Nothobranchius furzeri: one gene and its partners. The protein of the gene in region 1 binds, or shares a complex with, the protein of each later gene. Links are inferred from orthologs where the notes say so. Each region holds a gene or a part of one and is shown in the gene's direction. Other genes may lie near its edges.

Region 1 (2,342 bases):
GGGGGGGGGGGGGGGGGTGTCTCTGCCTCTGGTTGTCAAAAGTGCTGTTTGTGCAGGTAGCAGTCATCCACCTACTGCAAAACCAGCACTTCAGGTAAACAAGCAGGCAATGTGCTGCACACCACCGTCCACAAGGGGGCACTCTCAGCAGCAGGGATGTCGCACGATCACAGCTGCTCTTCAGTTTAGTATTCATGTTCTGTTTGATACAAAGAAATGTACAAGTGGGATTGATTGTTTCTAATCCTGGTCAGCTTTGCAGGGTGGGCAGTCAGCCTGTGTGCATTAGGACCAGCTGTGCAAACCCATGCAAAACTGACTATGACGAGAACTGTCAACACAAGCTTCTACATGTAGAGTAGATTGAAAAGACTCATTCATCTCGTGTGGTTTAGTTTTTAACCTGTGGAGAGACTAGCTGGTTTTGAGAGGCGGAGACTTGAGCAATTGCCGGCCATTCCAGAGGGCATTGCACTTGTCTCGGTCTGACAGTGCCGGCACATCGCAGCCTACCTTCTTACATGACTCCAGTCGGATATTTGTGTGTGTTTATGTACAACTGCCATCATCACCACACTTTGTCCATGCCTGCCATCAGGCCCGGCTTCGCATGATGGACACTGTGGAGAAGGAGGATGTGAACGAGGCTATGCGGCTGATGGAGATGTCGAAGGACTCGCTGCAGGCTGACAAATCCAGCACCACCAGGTTAGTGTGTGTGTGTGTGTGTGTGTGTGTGGGGGGGGGGTCATCTAGGCACCCTGAGCCTAACACGAGGGAACCGGATGTTAAACCCAGAATTCCCTTTTATGGGTTTCTTGTGTTTGCTGAATATGCAGTAGCTGCTCTGCAGGAAGCTGTAAAACATGACTGGTGTTTTATAGAGCTTGGTTCACACGGCAGCATGTTCACTTTGGTCATTAGTTGGTGCTTCAAGCAGCAGGCCTTCCATGCACAAAACTCTTCTGTTTTTTTTTATTTGGAAAACAAACTTTTCTTGGCAGTTTGGTTCCTAATGCCTCTAATCAGCGTCTGATTGGTTTGTCCTGATTCTGACCTCCTCCCTTGCAGGGCGCAGCGTCCAGCTGATGTCATCTTCTCTCTGGTGCGGGAGCTCGCCACTGAGGGCACGATCGGCCGTGGCGGGGCAGGCGGTGTGGTTCGCATGTCTGAAGCTGAGCAGCGTTGCATCTCTCGTGGCTTCACGCCCGCTCAGTTCCAGGAGGCTCTGGAGGAGTATGAGGAGTTAAATGTGTGGCAGATCAACCAGGCCCGCAGCCGCATCACCTTCGTATGAACACACCTGGACACGCTTCGCCCCAGCCATCGACTAGAGCTCTCTTTATTTCTGCATCATGTCTTTTGTAACCCAAGTTGGGCAGAACGCAGACTTCCTCTCAATACCTGGACATGATGAAAAATCCTGTTCCTGACTGGTTTCCTGTTAATTAATGGATTTCTTGTAAATATTTGTCAGAGCACATCATTGTGTAACCCTCCCACTGTCCTAATGGGTGTGAGGTCCACGTGGCAGGGGTGAGGACTGAGCACCACCTCACCCCTGCCACATGGACCCAAGGGATAAACCATCAACCCTGCTTAATGGTCAACTTTCTTCGCGGGGTCACACCCATTAGGACAGTGGGAAGGTTAATCTGCAGTTCAGTGGGGTAAAGCATCAGTTTATCAGTGAGAGTTCTTGTACATTGTGTTTGTAATGAGATGTTGATGTTGAACCTTGTATTAGTTATAATAAATGCTTCAGTAATAAACATCACTGTCAGTTTGGCTCCTGGTGTCATGAGAAGTTGTAATAAAAATGAACTTGTCATCTGTTGTATAATTGCTTTATATAAGTTATTGATCACTACTGTTTGTCAATCACACTTATCATGAGGATGTAATCAAGGGTAATCATGGTGGAGGTGTGCAGCTTTGCACGCACATCAGGGAATGTATAAGGAGCAGAGCAGAGCTCAGGGGGTTAGAGCTGCTTGAAGGATTCTACCTGACGAGGTTCATGGATTACATGTGTTCAGTTCTTCACCTATCATGGATTACGTTTTCTAACTGGGGTGTTCAGCTCTCCACCCATAAGCAACGGTAAGAGAAATGTTTCGTTCATGATTGATAACTTGTATGAATGCCGGTTAAATAAAGCCTTGTTGTTCATCTGATATTCAAGTTGTGTTTCATTGTTTCTGGCGTCGACTTGACAACGATCCTGATTAAATAAATATAAAGTGTAAAAAGAGACTTTGAGTCTTTTAAGGTAATTAAAATAAAATAAAACATTTTATTTTAGGACAGAAGTGTCTGAACATCTGGTTTGGTGGTGCTGC
Region 2 (4,264 bases), on another chromosome or scaffold:
GCTCACTATATGATGAGAATATTCAAAAATAAATAAAGGTGGTGTAGTGATGGTTAAAGAGGATTGTTGTTGGTGCATTATTTAAAAAACAACTATGCATAATTTCTCTTGCAGTTACACTATTGCAAACATTTAGATGGATGGATGTATATTCATACTGTGGTGTTATTTCACATTATCCCATTTTGTCAAAACATCAGTTATACATCACTCATCTTCCATTGCACTTGTCTTTATTCTGTTTTTTACCCCCCATTGAGTACTGTATGGTAAAATCTGTAAAAATGTATGCAGTGACAAATGCTTTATGTATCTAATACCAGTGTTACAGTTTCTAGAAACAGTTATTGCAAATGTTATTGTTTTTAATGTATTTAAATAAAAATGACAAATGCAATCAAAAATCTGTGCAATAAAAACTTTTCAGTGTAAAACAATCCTCCATCTGCACAGTTTTGACCCTGCAGGTTTCATTTAGAACAGAGTTATGGGTGCCAGCTGTGGTCAGTGGTGCTCATTGTCAGTAGGCCTACTATAACAACAGGTTTGCATGGCAAATGCAAAATCATCAGTAGAACAAATGCTCTGAGAGCAATAAGGAGGAAATAGAAAGAGGAAATCATACAAATGAGATTAGCCCTCAGGCCACTGTTATCTGGAAACAGATGCAACAAGTCAAGCAGATGATGGAACTTATTTCAAATGCAGGGCAAGACTGACTAAGAGATGGTATGTTGAAAAATGTATGTGTGTGTGTGCATGTGTGTGTGAGAGAGACCGTGGGTGACCTAGTGGAAGTTCAGTAATCATAGTTTTGAGATATTTGAGCCCTGGTAGGAGGAGGACAGAATTTTGAATATTCATTCTATGAATATGAGGTACTACAGATAGTAAACAATATTCAAGTAGATATGTCTTTAGACTAAATGTTGTATATAAACATTGGACATTGTTAAATGAATGGGAAATCTGACATACTGCTTTATAAAACATGCAAACCTCGGTACATATTTTTTAAATGGCTTTTTACCAATTTCATGTTATTAAAATAACAAATATTTTAATTCATTATGGTAATGAATGACCACTTAATATTTATTTTCATGTTATTTAGTCAACATCAAAAATGAAACACAATTACCATACAAATAACATTATTATTATTATTATTATTATTATTATTATTATTATTATTATTATTATTATTATTATTATTATTATTATTAACTGTTGTTGATGTTACTATTATTAATGTTGTTATGTTATTATAATTCCTTATTATAATAAAAGCTTGTTCAAAAACATTTTATTTTATTTGCAGGAAATCCAGAGAACCCTGCGTTGTTATTTTTTTACCCTTCGTTATGCATTTCGGACAGGTCAGAATGACCTGACTAATATTACGTGAGTAATCACTTTAGAGTAAATAAGAAAACATTCTCTTATCTCAAAAATACTGCCTTTTTCTATTTACATTTTTTTGTATTTTATTGATCTTTGTGGCTGCGGGAAAGACTTGGCCTTACAGTCAAAATTCGGGGTTTTTGAACAAAATACAACTCTCGCGAGAACGCCAGTGGCGCGAATAAACAAGAGCATTTTGCACCGCAGAAGCTTCAGGGACGACTGTGTAGCTAAACTCGTTTTATTACTTTTATTTAAGTTTCCCATTTTGTTATTTGAAGCCAAAACAATATCGTTTCTAAAACAGCAGTATTTAATTAGCGTACCTTATAAAGTGAAAGCATGTCGGACGCGTTGTCGGATGACGGCAGCGACATCAACCAAGATGACAGCCAGGATGTCATGACTCCGGCGGAGCTGATAGCTAAACTAGAAGAAGTGAGTCTTTTTATTTGATTTATCACGTTTTAAGTCGAACTGTGGGTCTTTGGGTCTGCTGTTTCCTGGCTTTAATGTTGTGCCAGCTGTGCCTTACAGGTGTGTTTGTGACCCGCAGGCTTGGCTGAACGAGAAGTTCTCCCCAGAGCTGCTGGAGAACAAGTCCGAGGTGGTGGAGTGTGTGATGGAGCAGCTGACTCATATGGTAACTACCTGGGGAATACCTCTCAGATTCTCTGTAACACACACAATCACTCTCTAGTTTCATGTTCAACAAGTGCTGGCTGTTTAGTGGAAACGCTGTAGACAGCAGAGCATACCGGAGAAAATAAACACACGAAACTAAACTAACATCATATTTAACATTTATTTAGATTAGTTTCTATTAGTTATACCAAATTAATCAATAAGACAAGCATCAAAATAAAGATTTATATTTAAATAATTGATGCTGATTCTGCCTTTAATTACATTAAACTGCTTTGACTATTCATTAGATTAGTGAAGTGATGATTTAAATGCTTGCCGATAACAAATATTATGTCAGATTATCCTGTGTGAAAAACAGATTTGTGTTTGACTAATTACTAGAAACAACCTCAAAGTGTTTGTTGAAGCAGGCGTGGGAACAATACTTTATGTTCTCTTATTGTGGTAAAAAAAAAACGAAGCGTTTTGATCATTAGCTCCTGTTTCTGCTTTACTCTAGACTTTAAAGGAGATGCTTTACTAATGCAGTGATTACATTTTACATAATAAACTAATACAAGTAGATTATTTTCAGAGTTGACCTTTATATTTATGTTTATGTTTATGTATTTAGCAGACGCTTTTGTCCAAAGCGACTTACAAGTGAATTTTGACCCCAGGGTGTGTAAAATTGTGTCTTCTAAGAGCTCAAGGTGAAATTTTTGCTTTTATTTCTCTTCTATCAGGATATTTATCTACTGGAATCCTGACATTAGATTACTGTGGCTCTTTAATATTCCAGATCTGTGTTATTTGTAGTGTTTTTTTTAAAATAAATTTTTATTTATTTTTTGTGGCATTTCCCCAAACAGGAATCAAACCTGCAACGGGTAAAGAAAGGTGATGCCAAAGCCAGCTTCCACCGAATGGAAATAGACAGGATCCGCTTTGTCCTCAGCAGCTACCTGCGCTCTCGTCTGCAAAAAGTCAGTCGAAGTAACGTAAAGATCTACGCGGTTTCTCTTTTACCTTTAAAAAAAGCACTGATCTGTCACGCTGTCTGTGTTCAGATTGAAAAGTTCTTTCCTCACGTCCTGGAGAGGGAGAAGTCTCGAGTGGAAGGACAGCCATCTCTGCTCTCTCCTGAGGAGTTTGCTTTTGCTAAAGAGTGAGCATAGAGTGACGTCAACTGTTTGATTTAGGATTTTAATAATAAAAACTAATTTTAATGTTGTGTGCAGGTATTACACCAACACAGAAACCTACCTAAAGGCTGTAGCGCTGAAGCGAATGCCACTCAACTTACAGACTGTAGATCTGCTCAAAGCAGGTAAACATTATATTTGCTTCCTTGGAAATTGCCATTTGTGGCATTTACTGCAACACACACACACACGGGCTGATGCACTAAATCCTGTGATTGATCCAATTCCAGTGCCCGAGCCTTGCTTGGACTCCTTTGTGTTTCTGCGAGTGAAGGAGAAACAGGAAAATATTTTGGTGGAGCCTGAAACCGACGATCAGAGGTAGTTCTCCTCATGGTTGCTGTTCATTCAGTATCCAGTAGGTGGCAGTGTTGTCGTTGTACACCTAGTGACATGTTTAAGGTATAAATACTGAAAAATAACACCTCTTCTGTCAGAGAATATATTGTGGATCTGGAAGAGGGCTCGCAGCATTTGATGCGATACCGCACCGTAGCGCCGCTGGTGTCAAACGGAGCGGTGCAGCTGATTTGAAAATCAGGGTGAGTTGAGATCCGTTATAAAAAAAACACATCTCGTTAACTCATTCATGACCTCTCTTGCATAGACATCCGCTAATTCCACTCTGCAGATGTTACATAAGCAAACTCTTTGCTGTGAAATCTGAATTTATTTTTAGCTCCACTGTTTTATCTCTTGGCAACAAAGAAAACTGCAGTATTTAGGTTGGCTGTGGATTAAAATTGACAGTTCTGTAATTACAATGGGCAACGAAATGCAACTAACACTTATTTTTACATTGCAGGTGTTGCTGAGGATGTTTTTTTACTCCAGGAGATCCTACATTTCAGCACTTGTATATATTTGTTTTTGCTGGAGTTGTAATGAAAAAAAGGCAGTTTAGTCTGTTGAAACCACACAGATAAAACCGGGAAACACAAACTGATTCTTTATCATCTGGAGAAAGGACTAACTTGTGTGATTTGAATGTAGATAACATTCATGACACCGTGGGGAGGGATGCTTGT
Region 3 (4,170 bases), on another chromosome or scaffold:
GCCTTACAGCCCCACCCTCAGCTCCACCTCTCTTGCCTTTTGTGGAATTGTCTGGGCTTGACGGTACCTGTGACACGGTCAAAATGGCGGTGGTGGCCACCTCCCATTTTGGCACAAAAATGTGTTATTGGAGCCTATGGAAATGAATTGTCCAGTATATATGTTGATGGTCGGTACTGTTGGCCCAAAAAGAATGTCCGCCAACCACTGTACGCCTGATAGAGAGCCCAGCAGTGGCACTGATGCACAATTAATAGTTATTAATGAAATATCTCACTAAAGAGCCTCCAGTTCAGATGCTAACGCTAGCATGAATGTACAAAGATGAAAAACGAAAACGTTATCCTACATGACAAATCTAAAATTCCAGTCATTAAAAATAAATATTTAACTTTCCACCATAATTTAAAAATGTTTTTTTATTAAAACTATCATAGCTGGAGTGTTAAAAAATAAAAGTGCCATAAGATATTTGGAAGTTGTTATTTTATTTCTATTACCCAACAGTAATCCAATTCATGTTTGTTCTGTTTTTGTTTTTGTTTTTTCCTCTAGGAATCATTGAGGCGTGACATCCTTCAGAGGTTTTACGATCGACTGTCAAGCATCTTGGAGAGGCAACCTGTTGATGGGGAAGGGCTACAGTTTGCTTGTCACCATTATTTAGTTTTATTAGGTGCTCTAGGTGACATTGTTGATGTGGGAGGGAGAGGATATACTTTCTGCTCTTTCCGATCTGAATACTATTATCCAGAAGGAAAGAGATAATCAAAAGACATTAATAAAAGTACACGTTGAAAGAGGTTCTCGTGGCCGTCAACGATTGGCGGTGTCGCGAGAGGCTCTCAAACACCTTGTGGAAATGGGTCTGCCAACAAGTGTCATTACCAAACTCCTTGGTGTATCCAGAGCAACTCTATTTAGACGGATGTCTGAAAATAATATATTTATTTATATATTTGTATCTGCCACATACAGTAAATGCAGTGATGAGGAACTACATCATTTTATCACAGTAATTAAGAGCAACATGCCAGATGCTGGGTACAGGGTAGTCCGAGGTGCTCTACTTGCCCAGGGACATAGAGTACAGTGGGACCGACTGTATGCATCCATGCATCGTGTGGACAGTGCGGTTGTACTTGCTCGAATGACACATCTGGGATGTGTAGTGAGAAGGACGTACACACAGTTCCTTGCCCAAAGTATATGGTGCACATTGACACCAATCACAAGCTTATCAGGTAATGTCTGTGTGTAATTGGAGATGTTATTTTTTGTTTTGGGAGTTACATTTTTAATTGTCTGTGTTTTAACGTTCTGTTCCATGGTGAAACACAGAGCTGTGAGGAGGGTGACTCACCTCGGACCATGGCAGCAGGGCAAGACCAGAATCTACTTTTAGCTTTGGTTGGCTGCACTGACCGCCCTCCTACCCAGCAGGCAGCGCTGGCGCACCAGAACGATGTTACCATCTGCCAGTAAACACACGAAGAAGAAGAAAACAATGACACCAAAGAAGAAGCTGCGCGCGAAATTTGGAGCGGCCAGACTGCAGTGTAAACAAACACAGTGTTCAGCCTTATTTCTCTCTTAGCTCAGCTAGCTGTAGCGCTTCCGCATGGCCCAGGAGACAGGGTACTCACCGAGCTTCAAGCGGCCGGCAGAAATCATTCGTCTGAGGAGAAAAAGAGCTCGAAGCACGGTTTTATCGAGCAGTGAGGTGGTTTTGAGTTCCGGACCGAGCAGTTCGTTATGCGGTCGAATCTCCTCCCCAGAACCGCTCCTCAATGAGCAGAGCTGTTCTAGAAACGACGTTAAACGGAGAAACCCGTTTGCTAACCGTGAAAACACCTCCGTCCCCGTGGTCTGCGACGAAGATGGCGGATATGTCCAGACTCGGAAGAAAGTAAAGCAGGAGAAGGAGGCGGAAGAGAAGACGTCGGCAGCGGTCAGCGGCTGCTCCACTCAGGTAGGAGGAGGCGACGACCCTCCTGGTAGACCTGGACAAGTCACACCTGGATTCATGTCAGGTTCTACAGACAGCTGGTGTTAACGACGTATTATTATTATTGGGGTATTTAGGTTAGTGATGCAGACAGGTGATCCAGCCCAGGTTGCTGTCACATGTGGTCCAAAACCTGAGTATGAGCTCCACAGATCTGCTCTGAAGGAGGTGGGAGGACAACTACATCCATCCAGCATCCTCATTTACTTCCATAAACTCGGATTTGCTGGTGTCCAACTCTAGCAGTCATTGAGCAAGAGATGGGAGACACCTGGACATGTCTCCAGTTCATGATGGAGACACAGCCAGTCACAAACTCACCAGGGACAATTCAGTTTGATGTGTGTGGGATTAAACCAGAGCACGCTAACACCACTCAGTAAAGCTACAGTCAGGATTTGAACCTGCAACCATCCCGATGTGCAGCAGCAGTGCTGCACCACAGTGCAGCCACGTTTAAACCGTAAACGGATAAAACATGTAGCAGTGGGAGAAAATAGCTTCTCGATGAACCAATGAATGAAATGCTGTAGTTCGATCACCGGGACAGCTCCTCATCAGAACCCAACCCTGAGCTGCTGAATCCCCATCAAACCAACAAAAGCAGGATGATCAGCTGTTTTTATTCAGTGTTTGTTTTTCTGCTGCAGAAATGTCTCTCTGAGGACGACTCTCTGTCTGGACCAGAGGACGAACAAGTTCTGAGTCCACTGCTCAAGGTAGGTTTATAATAAATGTGGTGCGTGGGCGACGGTGGCACAGGAGTTAAGAGCTCGCCCCGTAATCGGAAGGTTGCGGGTTCGTGCCCCGCTCAGTCTGTCGCTGTCATCGTGTCCTTGGGCAAGACACTTAACCCACGTTTCCTGCTGGTGGTGGTCGGAGGGACCGGTGGCGCCAGTGCTCGGCAGACTCGCCTCTGTCAGTGCGCCCCAGGGCAGCTGTGGCTACATTGTAGCTCATCCCCACCAGTGTGTGAATGTGTGTGTGAATGGGTGAATGACTGATTGTGTTGTAAAGCGCCTTGGGGGGTTCCAGAACTCTAGAAGGTGCTATATCAAATACAGGCCATTTATTTGACCATAAACAAATGCAAAGTAGAGATGAACCATTAAACACTTTAGACACGCAGACTACATAGTGGGAATGTGTTGATATTACATAACGTTTTTATTCTCCCTTCACCTTCCTGATGAAAGTAGTCCCTTCCTGTTTCCCCACCCAACATGGCCGACGTAAACCCCGTTGAGCCACCAGTCAGAAACGGGTCCATGAAAAAGACCCAGATGAGGTGAGGCTCATCCCTGATTAATGTGTCCTTCCTGTGTGTTCTCCAGAGCCCCCGCACCATCGCCTCCTCCTCCATTGCTCCTCCCAGCTGCACTCGGTACCCGACAGACTGGAGCTTGAAGACCCGGCTGCTCTTCACCTCCCCCCACTCCCTCTCATGGGCCGAGCAGCCCAAAGCCCAGGAAGAAGCTTTAGGCCTGAGCCGCAGCTGCAGAGCCCAGTTTAGCTCTCTGCCACAACACGCACAGGTAGGTTCTGTCAGCCACTCACACACACACACGTCTCTTGACTAACGCAGCACCCCATCTGCCAGTGGCAGGATCCCCAGTTCTGCTCAGAGCTCCGCTGTGCCTTCCAGCAGTGTTTGGTGTACTGGCAGCACCCCTCCCTGCCCTGGCTCTCTCTCTTCCCCCGGATCAACGCGGAGAGGAACTTCTCGGGGAGGAGCTCGCCCTGGGCTCACGATGCAGCTCTGCAGCAGAGCCTGATGAGGGACTGGTGAGCATCTGTTCCTCAGCAGGAAGGAGATTACAACTTTGATCATGAGGATTTTCTGTTCTTCTCATTTCAGGTCCATCAGCCTGTCGTCTCTCTACAGCCTTTTAAAGTCTGGACTGTGTCCATACTTCTATGTCTGCTCCTATCAGGTGTGTTTGTGTCCACTGAGAGCTCTCCTCAGTAAGCCACCTGTCTCTAATGTCCTCTGCTGTCCGATAGCTAACGGTTCTGTTCAGGGCGGCGGGTCTCAGCGGGTCGGGCTGCATCACTGCTCTGGTCTCTCCGACGACTCGTGGCCTCAGAGAAGCTATGAAGTCTGAAGGTAAAGTTTCTGGTTAACACAGGGTATCCGCGGGTCCTTAAAAAGTCTTAAATTT
Region 4 (3,702 bases), on another chromosome or scaffold:
AGGTGGGCCGTTCCTCCCAATCACACCCCTCCAGGTCAAGCTGTCATTGCCCACGTGAGCATTGAAGTCCCCCAGCAGGACAATGGAGTCCCCTGATGGAGCACTATCTAGCACTCGTCCCAGGGACTCCAAAAAGGGTGGGTACTCTGAACTGATATTTGGCCCATAAGCACAAACAACAGTCAGGACCCGTTCTCCGACCCGAAGGCGCAAGGAAGCTACCCTCTTGTCCCCCGGGGTAAACCCCAACACACAGGCAGAGAGTCTCTGGGCTAACAAAAAGCCAACCCCAGCCCTCCGCCTCTCACCCGGAGCAACTCCAGCAAAGTAGAGTGTCCAACCCCTCTCCAGGTCTCGGGTCCCAGAGCCAATGCAATGTGTCGAGGTGAGTTCGACTATATCTAGCCGGTACCACTCAACCTCTGCCACAAGCTCCGGCTCCTTCCCCGCCAGCGAGGTGACGTTCCATGTCCCAAAAACTAGTTTTCTTGTCCGGGGATTGGACCGCCAAGGCTCCCGCCTTGGTCTGCCACCCGATTCGCATTGCACCGGACCCTTCATGTTCCTCCTGCGGGTGGTGGGTCCACAGTTGGACGAGCCCATGTATCCGGTTCGGGCTGGGCCCGGCCGGGCCCCATGGGCGAAAGCCCGGCCACCAGGCGCTCGCTCACGGGCCCCAACCCCAGGCCTGGCTCCAGGGTGGGACCCCGGTAACCCTCCGGGCCGGGTACTCCGACTCTTCGTTTTAACCGCCATGAAAGATCCTTCGAACCGTTCTTTGTCTCACCCTTCACCTAAGACCAATTTGTCATGGGAGACCCTACCAGGGGCACTAAGTGCCCCAGACAACATAGCTCCTAGGATCATTAGGGCACTCAAACTCCTCCACCACGATAAGGTGACGGTTCAAGGAGGAGAAAATCTAACTAATTACTGTAGCTTACAATTAAATGTGTTAATGAAAGATTAAATGCTTTGTGGAGTGAAATAACAGGAATTTCTCGGCCAAACCCATCTTATTTCATAGACACATCTTTGGCGTTTATAACAAATTAAGCCTTTTGAAAATCGGTTGAAAATTGAGCAAGTTAGAGTTGCTTGAGAAAGGGGGGCAGCGGTCTGAGGTAAGATGGCCGCCACGTTCCTACGTCGCATCCCATTGACGAACAGTGGGGACGAGGCATCTAGTGTTTATACATACATATCTATGCCGGAGCCGATCTGGTACCGACAACGGATCTACGTCACCGGGTCACGTGATCAACAAAGCTTTTCCCGCCAACACCGTTCGGTCTTCACGGAGGAGAAACGGATAAGTTTTCTGATCGAGAGTTCGGGATGTTCTGCGAGAAGGCCATGGAGATGATCCGGGAGCTGCACCGGATGAGCGACGGACAGCTGCCCGCTTTCAACGTGAGGAACGCGGGTAACGGTCGCAGCAGCTGACTCCGTGTACAGCCAAGCTGGTTTAAGGTTGTTCAGATGTTGCCAACAGAAGCAGAAGTCTTAAGAACCAGTAGACCAAAGGATAGCTTAAACGGAACACCGGCTACAGTTCGGCTCTGATTTAACCCGGTAGCATGCTGTTCTACTGTTCCTTAAACCAGAACCCACATGCTGGCTCTGTTTCAGGAGGACGGGCTGCGCCAGGTTCTACAGGAGATGGAGGCTCTGTACGAACAGAACCAAGCTGACGTGTGAGTTCAGGCTGCTTCTGGTTCTAGGGTTCGGTGGACCGACATCTGAACGCTACTAAACTGTAAAAGATCAAAAAGATGCGGCTTCAACCACAGAGTTCGGGTTCTGGTTTTGTTTATCTACAGAAACCCTCCTCATATACTGAGGCCTCTCCTGTTTGACCTGACCTCTGACCCCACATCACCTGTAGAGAAAAGGTCAAACTGGTTCAAGAGCCTTTTCATGCATGAAGGATGAGGGGTCCAGAGGTCAGATACTGGTTCTGGACTGGCCTGAGTCCAGATGACCCGTATGTGACCTTACAGTAAGTCAGCTGATCTTCTGTTTCAGGAACGAGGCCAAGTCCTTCGGGCGCTCAGACCTCATCCCCTCCATCAAACTGCGTCACTGCTGCCTGCTGAGGAACCAGCGCTGCATCACTGCCTACCTGTAACTCCGCCCACAGTCATGTGACCAGCCTCACCTGCAGTCACTACGGTTTTTTTTACCGTTTGTTGTTTACAGGTACGACCGCCTGCTGAGGATCAGAGCGCTGAGATGGGAGTACGGCAGCGTTCTACCCGCCAACGTTCGCTTCCACATGTCTGCAGAGGAGGTCGGTGTGACATCACCTCCTGTTTTAGACTTCCTGTTGCTGCTTCACATAGAAAGCAAACTTTTCAATTCCTTGAAACTTTTATTTTGAAAGTGTCAGTGTTGTATTAGAACAGCTCAGTGTGTGTGTGTGTGTTGCTTTCAGGTGCAGTGGTTTGGTCAGTATAAAAAGTCTCTTGCTTCCTTCATGCGTTCCCTTGGTGAGGGGGAGGGGCTTGACATCACACAGGACATCAAGCCTCCAAAGAGTCTCTACATCCAGGTGAGTCACACCTGCCTGACCTCTGACCTACGGTCTGTCCTCATCATGCTGATGTCATGTTTGTTTCCAGGTGAGGTGTCTTAAGGACCATGGAGAGTTTGAGATCGAGGATGGAACGGTGATCTTGCTGAAGAAGAACAGCCAGGTCAGAATAGGATGCAGTTTGGATGAACACTCACTCACACACACACACACACACACGATTGGGCCGACAGCATGACATCAGAACCAGACCGTCCTCACAGCCTCAACAGGAAGCTCAGGATCAGGTGTATTGATTACCTGATCACCAGCAGCAGGAGCTCTCTGGAGCATACAGGTGTGTGTTGACATGTAGAGGAAGCAGCTGTGGATCTGGGATGGACCCACACTCACATTATTCCCAGGAGATGAATCCTGTGGCCCGTGTGTGTGTGTGCGTGTGTGCATGTGACGTGAAGCCTTAGAACGCAGCAGCTCACAGGAAGTTGTGTTTGTGTTCTCAGCACTTCCTGCCTCGGTGGAAATGTGAGCAGCTGATTCGCCAGGGCGTCTTGGAGCACGTGGTGTCGTGACGAGAGAAGATTGTGTGTGTGTGTGTGTGTGTGTGTGTGTGTGTGTGTGTGTGTGTGTGTGGTCACAACAAATAAAAGTGTTGTACCCATTCTGTGGCCTCTGTTGTGTCTCTGTGGTCCTGGAAGTGAAGAAACTCACGTGTCAGGTGCCATAGAAAGATGACAAGCAGCTGATAAAAACATAATGAGTCACACTTTGGTCCACAGGTGAGCTTTGGTGTGTTGCACCTGAACAGGTGAGAAATAGAGCAGCAAACACACTGATGCTGCCTGCTGTAACGTCCAGAAATGGTCAGTTTTCACCTACATATTGACCGACACAATGTCCGGTCACCTACAGACCTAATTCCACTATCTGAGTGGAGTTTCTATCCTGCCTTCTAAAGCCCAGAAGATTCTGAAGCCCTTGTTGACATTCAGGGGGAACAAGATGCCAGCCTATGTTCCCAAACAAAGCCTTCTTTTGATAAGACCACAGGATTGCTCACTCTCATGAAATAACTTTTACAACTCGTAAGTTAAAAAATAATATGGTTGAATGAACAAATGTTATATGTATAATAATGTTGATGTTTGAATAATCGGTGCCTAATT
Region 5 (3,516 bases), on another chromosome or scaffold:
ATATTTTCTTCTTCTTCTTCTAAAACTGTCAGTGTTGTGCCGTCGTCAGGTAAAAACTCTGCACTATATTTGAATTTAAATCTGCCACCGCTATTGGCTAACAGGTAGGCTATGATGTAAACTGGTACATTATGATGTCACAATGCTGTCGTGAGCCTGTGTGTGTGTGTATTTGTTAGCGGCTCCGCCCTCTCAGTCTGCCAGGCAACAGCATTTGTTGCATTTTTCAAACAGGAAGCGGGAGTGGAGTTAGACTCTGGTAGGGGGTGACTTGCTCTTTAAACACAACTTATCAAATAAAGCAATTCAAAATTACTCAAACATCAACAATTATTACTTCTGTGCACCTGTAAATGCTACAAAATGTATTGAAAACAAGAAAAATAATACTTTAAATAAACATGTTAAATAAACTTTCTAGGTCATTCACAAAGTCACAGTGCCACCTTGTGGTGAAACCTTGAACAAAAAAGTTGCTTAAACTACCTTTACAGCTCGTATGATGAGTTAAAGGGAAAAAAAGAAGACAAAAATAGAAATAATACAGGAGGAAAGTGTAGGGTAAGTAAAATTCACAAAACAAGACACGATAAAATAACTACGTATGTTGTTGTGTATAAAGCGACTGGTGCATGGGTTGATTCAGGGTGGTGATTTTATTTATACATCTTGTGTGATGTATAAAGTCTGTCTTGGATCAAATGGACCTGTCGCGTGTGCCAGAGGGCAGGAGGTGGAACAGGTGGTGTGAGTCTTGTCCCTCTCAGGCCTGGTTTCTCTGTGTTCAACTAAAACCAAATTAAATACTAATCGACGTAATTTCCAGTTGCACGACTCCGCTTTGAACATTTTCAAAGCTTTCATGTTTGTGTTTTTATTAGGCGCTGTTTCATTGCGACCACATTCAGTACACCCTGGTGCCGGTGATCGGCTGGCAGGATCTCTCCACCGCCTTCCTTGAACACAAAGAGCAGGTCAATAACAACACACTTGAGTCTACTCGTGGATATGTACAACAGAAGGCTGATTAGGACAAAAACTGTGAAATAAATGTTTTGATTGTTTTGTAGTTTCGATACTTTGTTCTCATCAACTGCGGGGCGAATGTTGACCTCCTTGAGATGCTGCAGCCAGATGATGACTCCATCTTCTTCATCTGTGATACTCACCGTCCCGTGGACGTGGTTAATGTCTATAACGACACTCAGGTGATGTAGGATGATCAGGTTTTAGAGGACTAACCGCAAACTTTAATCCCCTCATATTGAACTTACTCCCTACTTAACCGTCATTCGTCCCCTCCACAGATTAAACTGCTAATCAAACAGGACGACGATCTGGGCGTGCCGTCGTACGACGACATCTTTCGAGACGACGAGGAGGAAGATGACGGCTCTGGAAACGACAGCGACGAAGGCTCAGAGCCGTCCGGAAAGCGGAGGAGGTTTGATGAAGTGAGGAGCATTAGCAGACGCTGCAGAAAGGATGCCAGAATTCAATTCAAAAATACTTTATTAATCCCAGAGGGAAATTGATTGAAGAAGAAGACAGCGAGGCTGACTTAGGCCTAGTCCACACGTAGCCGGTTTTTTTTTTAAAAACGAATATCTGCCCCTCCAAAAACTTGCATCCACACCACCTCGTTTAAAAAAAAACTGTCCACACGTACCCGGATAAATACGTTGTTAAGGACATGCCAGACCTGTAGGCGGCAGTACTTCCCCCGTTCTTAACCTCGTCCTTCGTCTGTGGTCTTCCGTAAGGAGCAGTAATTCTGCTTGCAAAAACAAACAAGCAGAAAGCGCTTGGACAATTGATAAAGCGAGCGCAGCTCTGAAGGCATCCATGCTGTCGGCTGGTGTAAACACAGGTCGCACACGTGATGTCAGCATTTTTGGTCGCGGAAAGTGACGTTGCGGACCTTAAAACTCCGGTTTTGTCCGTCCACACGCAGACACCCAAAACGGAGAAAACGCAGATCTTCACTTTGGCCGGAGTTTTTAAAAAGATCCGTTTTCGTGTGAAAAAACTCCGTTTTCTTGTGGATGACAGGCCAAAACGTAGAAAAATATCTACGTTTTGGCAGATCCCCGGCTACGTGTGGACAGGACCTAAGGCTTGTGGACATAGGACATATTGTGCTGAATTCACCTTTTGGAGCACTTTGTGCTGCCCTGTGGCTCTCTACTGCCTCTAAAAACACTCCACAGGTGAAAAAACATCTGTCCATTTTTTTTTCTGTAAGTATTTGGATTTAGGAATTATTTGCCTTAAGCAAGAAGTTTCAGAAAGTCCCCGTTTGTGACATCATAAACAGGGAAAACCCTGCATCACCTCTCTAGGCTAGAAGAGCAGCGACTCTAGGCCAAGCCCCTCCCAGCCAATCAGTGGATGGGTGGGCCTGGTCAGATCCCCGGCTACGTGTGGACAGGGCCTAATGCTTGTGTCGGGATTGTGTCGTGGCAGGGGGCGATTGAGAGGAGAATTGAAAGGCAGAGAGCGAGGAGGGAGTGGGAGGCACGGAGGTGAGATTTTGTCTGTTTTTATTGAACAGTGAGATATCTGTGATGTGTGTCTAACCTTTTGAAGTTTCTCAGGAGGGAAATCTTGTTCGACTATGAACAGTTCGAGTTCCACGGGACCTCTGTGAGTACACAACTCAGATCCTGAGCTTCAGCTGATATAAACTATACACAAACCCATCATCTGCCTTTGACTCTCAGGCTGCGATGATGTTTTTCGAGCTCGCCTGGGTTCTAACGAAAGACACCAAGGACATGCTCTGGTGAGCTTTCAAATTAAACATTTCTATAAACGACTTCCAGATCACAGAAATGCACGCGGCACCGTTCCGTTAAAATCCGTGTTTGCGTCTACAGGTGGGCCATCATCGGGCTGACGGACCAGCAGATTCACGACAAGATCACACAGTGAGGATTCGCTTTCTAAAGGTTTTCTGTAAATGTTTGCAACAAATGGCTCGTGGTTAGAGTTTTATTTCCTTTTCAGCATGAAATACGTAACAGATGTCGCAACGATGCAGCGGCATGTTTCCCGACATAACCACCGAAATGAGGACGAGGAGAACTCTTTATCCATCGACTGCATGAGGATCTCCTTTGAATACGAGTATCCTTTCTTTATCTTCTAACAGATCTTTGGGTTTTTTTCCGTTCTGTTTTTCTTAACCCCGTGATCCAGCCTGCGTCTCAGCCTCTACCAGCACTGGTCTCTGTATGAGAGCATCTGTAATTCTTGCTACACCTCCAGTAGCTTTAAGCTTTGGACTTTAAACGGCCAGAAGAAACTGCGAGAGTTCTTGGCTGATATGGGGTACGCATTTTCAAACCGGTGCTTCGTGTGTCAGCAGTAGAGAGACGGCAGCATCTGATGCTTCATTTCTTTTTGTGTTGTTGTTTACAGGTTACCTCTGAAACAAGTGAAACAAAAATATACATCCATGGACATGTCGATAAAGGAGAACCTAAGAGACGTCATTGAAGAGTCCTCTAATAA

The links.
Region 2: mcm7 (region 1) and gins4 share a complex: the UniProt entries of both Homo sapiens proteins name them as parts of the CMG helicase complex. The link is inferred for Nothobranchius furzeri from reciprocal best matches to the Homo sapiens genes MCM7 and GINS4.
Region 3: mcm7 (region 1) and protein downstream neighbor of son homolog share a complex: the UniProt entries of both Homo sapiens proteins name them as parts of the replisome complex. The link is inferred for Nothobranchius furzeri from reciprocal best matches to the Homo sapiens genes MCM7 and DONSON.
Region 4: mcm7 (region 1) and gins1 share a complex: the UniProt entries of both Homo sapiens proteins name them as parts of the CMG helicase complex. The link is inferred for Nothobranchius furzeri from reciprocal best matches to the Homo sapiens genes MCM7 and GINS1.
Region 5: mcm7 (region 1) and cdc45 share a complex: the UniProt entries of both Homo sapiens proteins name them as parts of the CMG helicase complex. The link is inferred for Nothobranchius furzeri from reciprocal best matches to the Homo sapiens genes MCM7 and CDC45.

The regions. Positions count from the first base shown.
Region 1 is NC_091741.1:79,979,115-79,981,456, forward strand, and holds the end of mcm7 (DNA replication licensing factor MCM7), read left to right. Parts: intron 1-598; coding exon 599-708; intron 709-1,071; coding exon 1,072-1,297; 3' UTR 1,298-1,831; downstream 1,832-2,342. Other genes in the region: and3 (actinodin3), read left to right, coding at 2,021-2,103. UniProt on the Homo sapiens protein: Acts as a component of the MCM2-7 complex (MCM complex) which is the replicative helicase essential for 'once per cell cycle' DNA replication initiation and elongation in eukaryotic cells.
Region 2 is NC_091757.1:38,273,271-38,277,534, forward strand, and holds the start of gins4 (DNA replication complex GINS protein SLD5), read left to right. Parts: upstream 1-1,455; 5' UTR 1,456-1,746; coding exon 1,747-1,842; intron 1,843-1,960; coding exon 1,961-2,047; intron 2,048-2,903; coding exon 2,904-3,017; intron 3,018-3,101; coding exon 3,102-3,199; intron 3,200-3,272; coding exon 3,273-3,361; intron 3,362-3,466; coding exon 3,467-3,557; intron 3,558-3,673; coding exon 3,674-3,770; 3' UTR 3,771-3,778; intron 3,779-4,041; 3' UTR 4,042-4,264. UniProt on the Homo sapiens protein: Required for correct functioning of the GINS complex, a complex that plays an essential role in the initiation of DNA replication, and progression of DNA replication forks.
Region 3 is NC_091743.1:80,893,330-80,897,499, reverse strand, and holds the start of protein downstream neighbor of son homolog, read left to right. Parts: upstream 1-1,367; 5' UTR 1,368-1,621; coding exon 1,622-1,972; intron 1,973-2,658; coding exon 2,659-2,727; intron 2,728-3,342; coding exon 3,343-3,543; intron 3,544-3,608; coding exon 3,609-3,793; intron 3,794-3,866; coding exon 3,867-3,942; intron 3,943-4,012; coding exon 4,013-4,115; intron 4,116-4,170. UniProt on the Homo sapiens protein: Replisome component that maintains genome stability by protecting stalled or damaged replication forks.
Region 4 is NC_091752.1:47,394,742-47,398,443, forward strand, and holds gins1 (DNA replication complex GINS protein PSF1), read left to right. Parts: upstream 1-1,229; 5' UTR 1,230-1,338; coding exon 1,339-1,413; exon of another isoform or gene 1,414-1,426; intron 1,427-1,632; coding exon 1,633-1,697; intron 1,698-2,028; coding exon 2,029-2,127; intron 2,128-2,202; coding exon 2,203-2,293; intron 2,294-2,437; coding exon 2,438-2,554; intron 2,555-2,624; coding exon 2,625-2,699; intron 2,700-3,039; coding exon 3,040-3,108; 3' UTR 3,109-3,198; downstream 3,199-3,702. UniProt on the Homo sapiens protein: Required for correct functioning of the GINS complex, a complex that plays an essential role in the initiation of DNA replication, and progression of DNA replication forks.
Region 5 is NC_091757.1:55,442,726-55,446,241, forward strand, and holds part of cdc45 (cell division control protein 45 homolog), read left to right. Parts: intron 1-881; coding exon 882-974; intron 975-1,070; coding exon 1,071-1,208; intron 1,209-1,307; coding exon 1,308-1,454; intron 1,455-2,466; coding exon 2,467-2,525; intron 2,526-2,597; coding exon 2,598-2,646; intron 2,647-2,723; coding exon 2,724-2,785; intron 2,786-2,879; coding exon 2,880-2,930; intron 2,931-3,009; coding exon 3,010-3,129; intron 3,130-3,201; coding exon 3,202-3,333; intron 3,334-3,423; coding exon 3,424-3,516. UniProt on the Homo sapiens protein: Required for initiation of chromosomal DNA replication. Core component of CDC45-MCM-GINS (CMG) helicase, the molecular machine that unwinds template DNA during replication, and around which the replisome is built.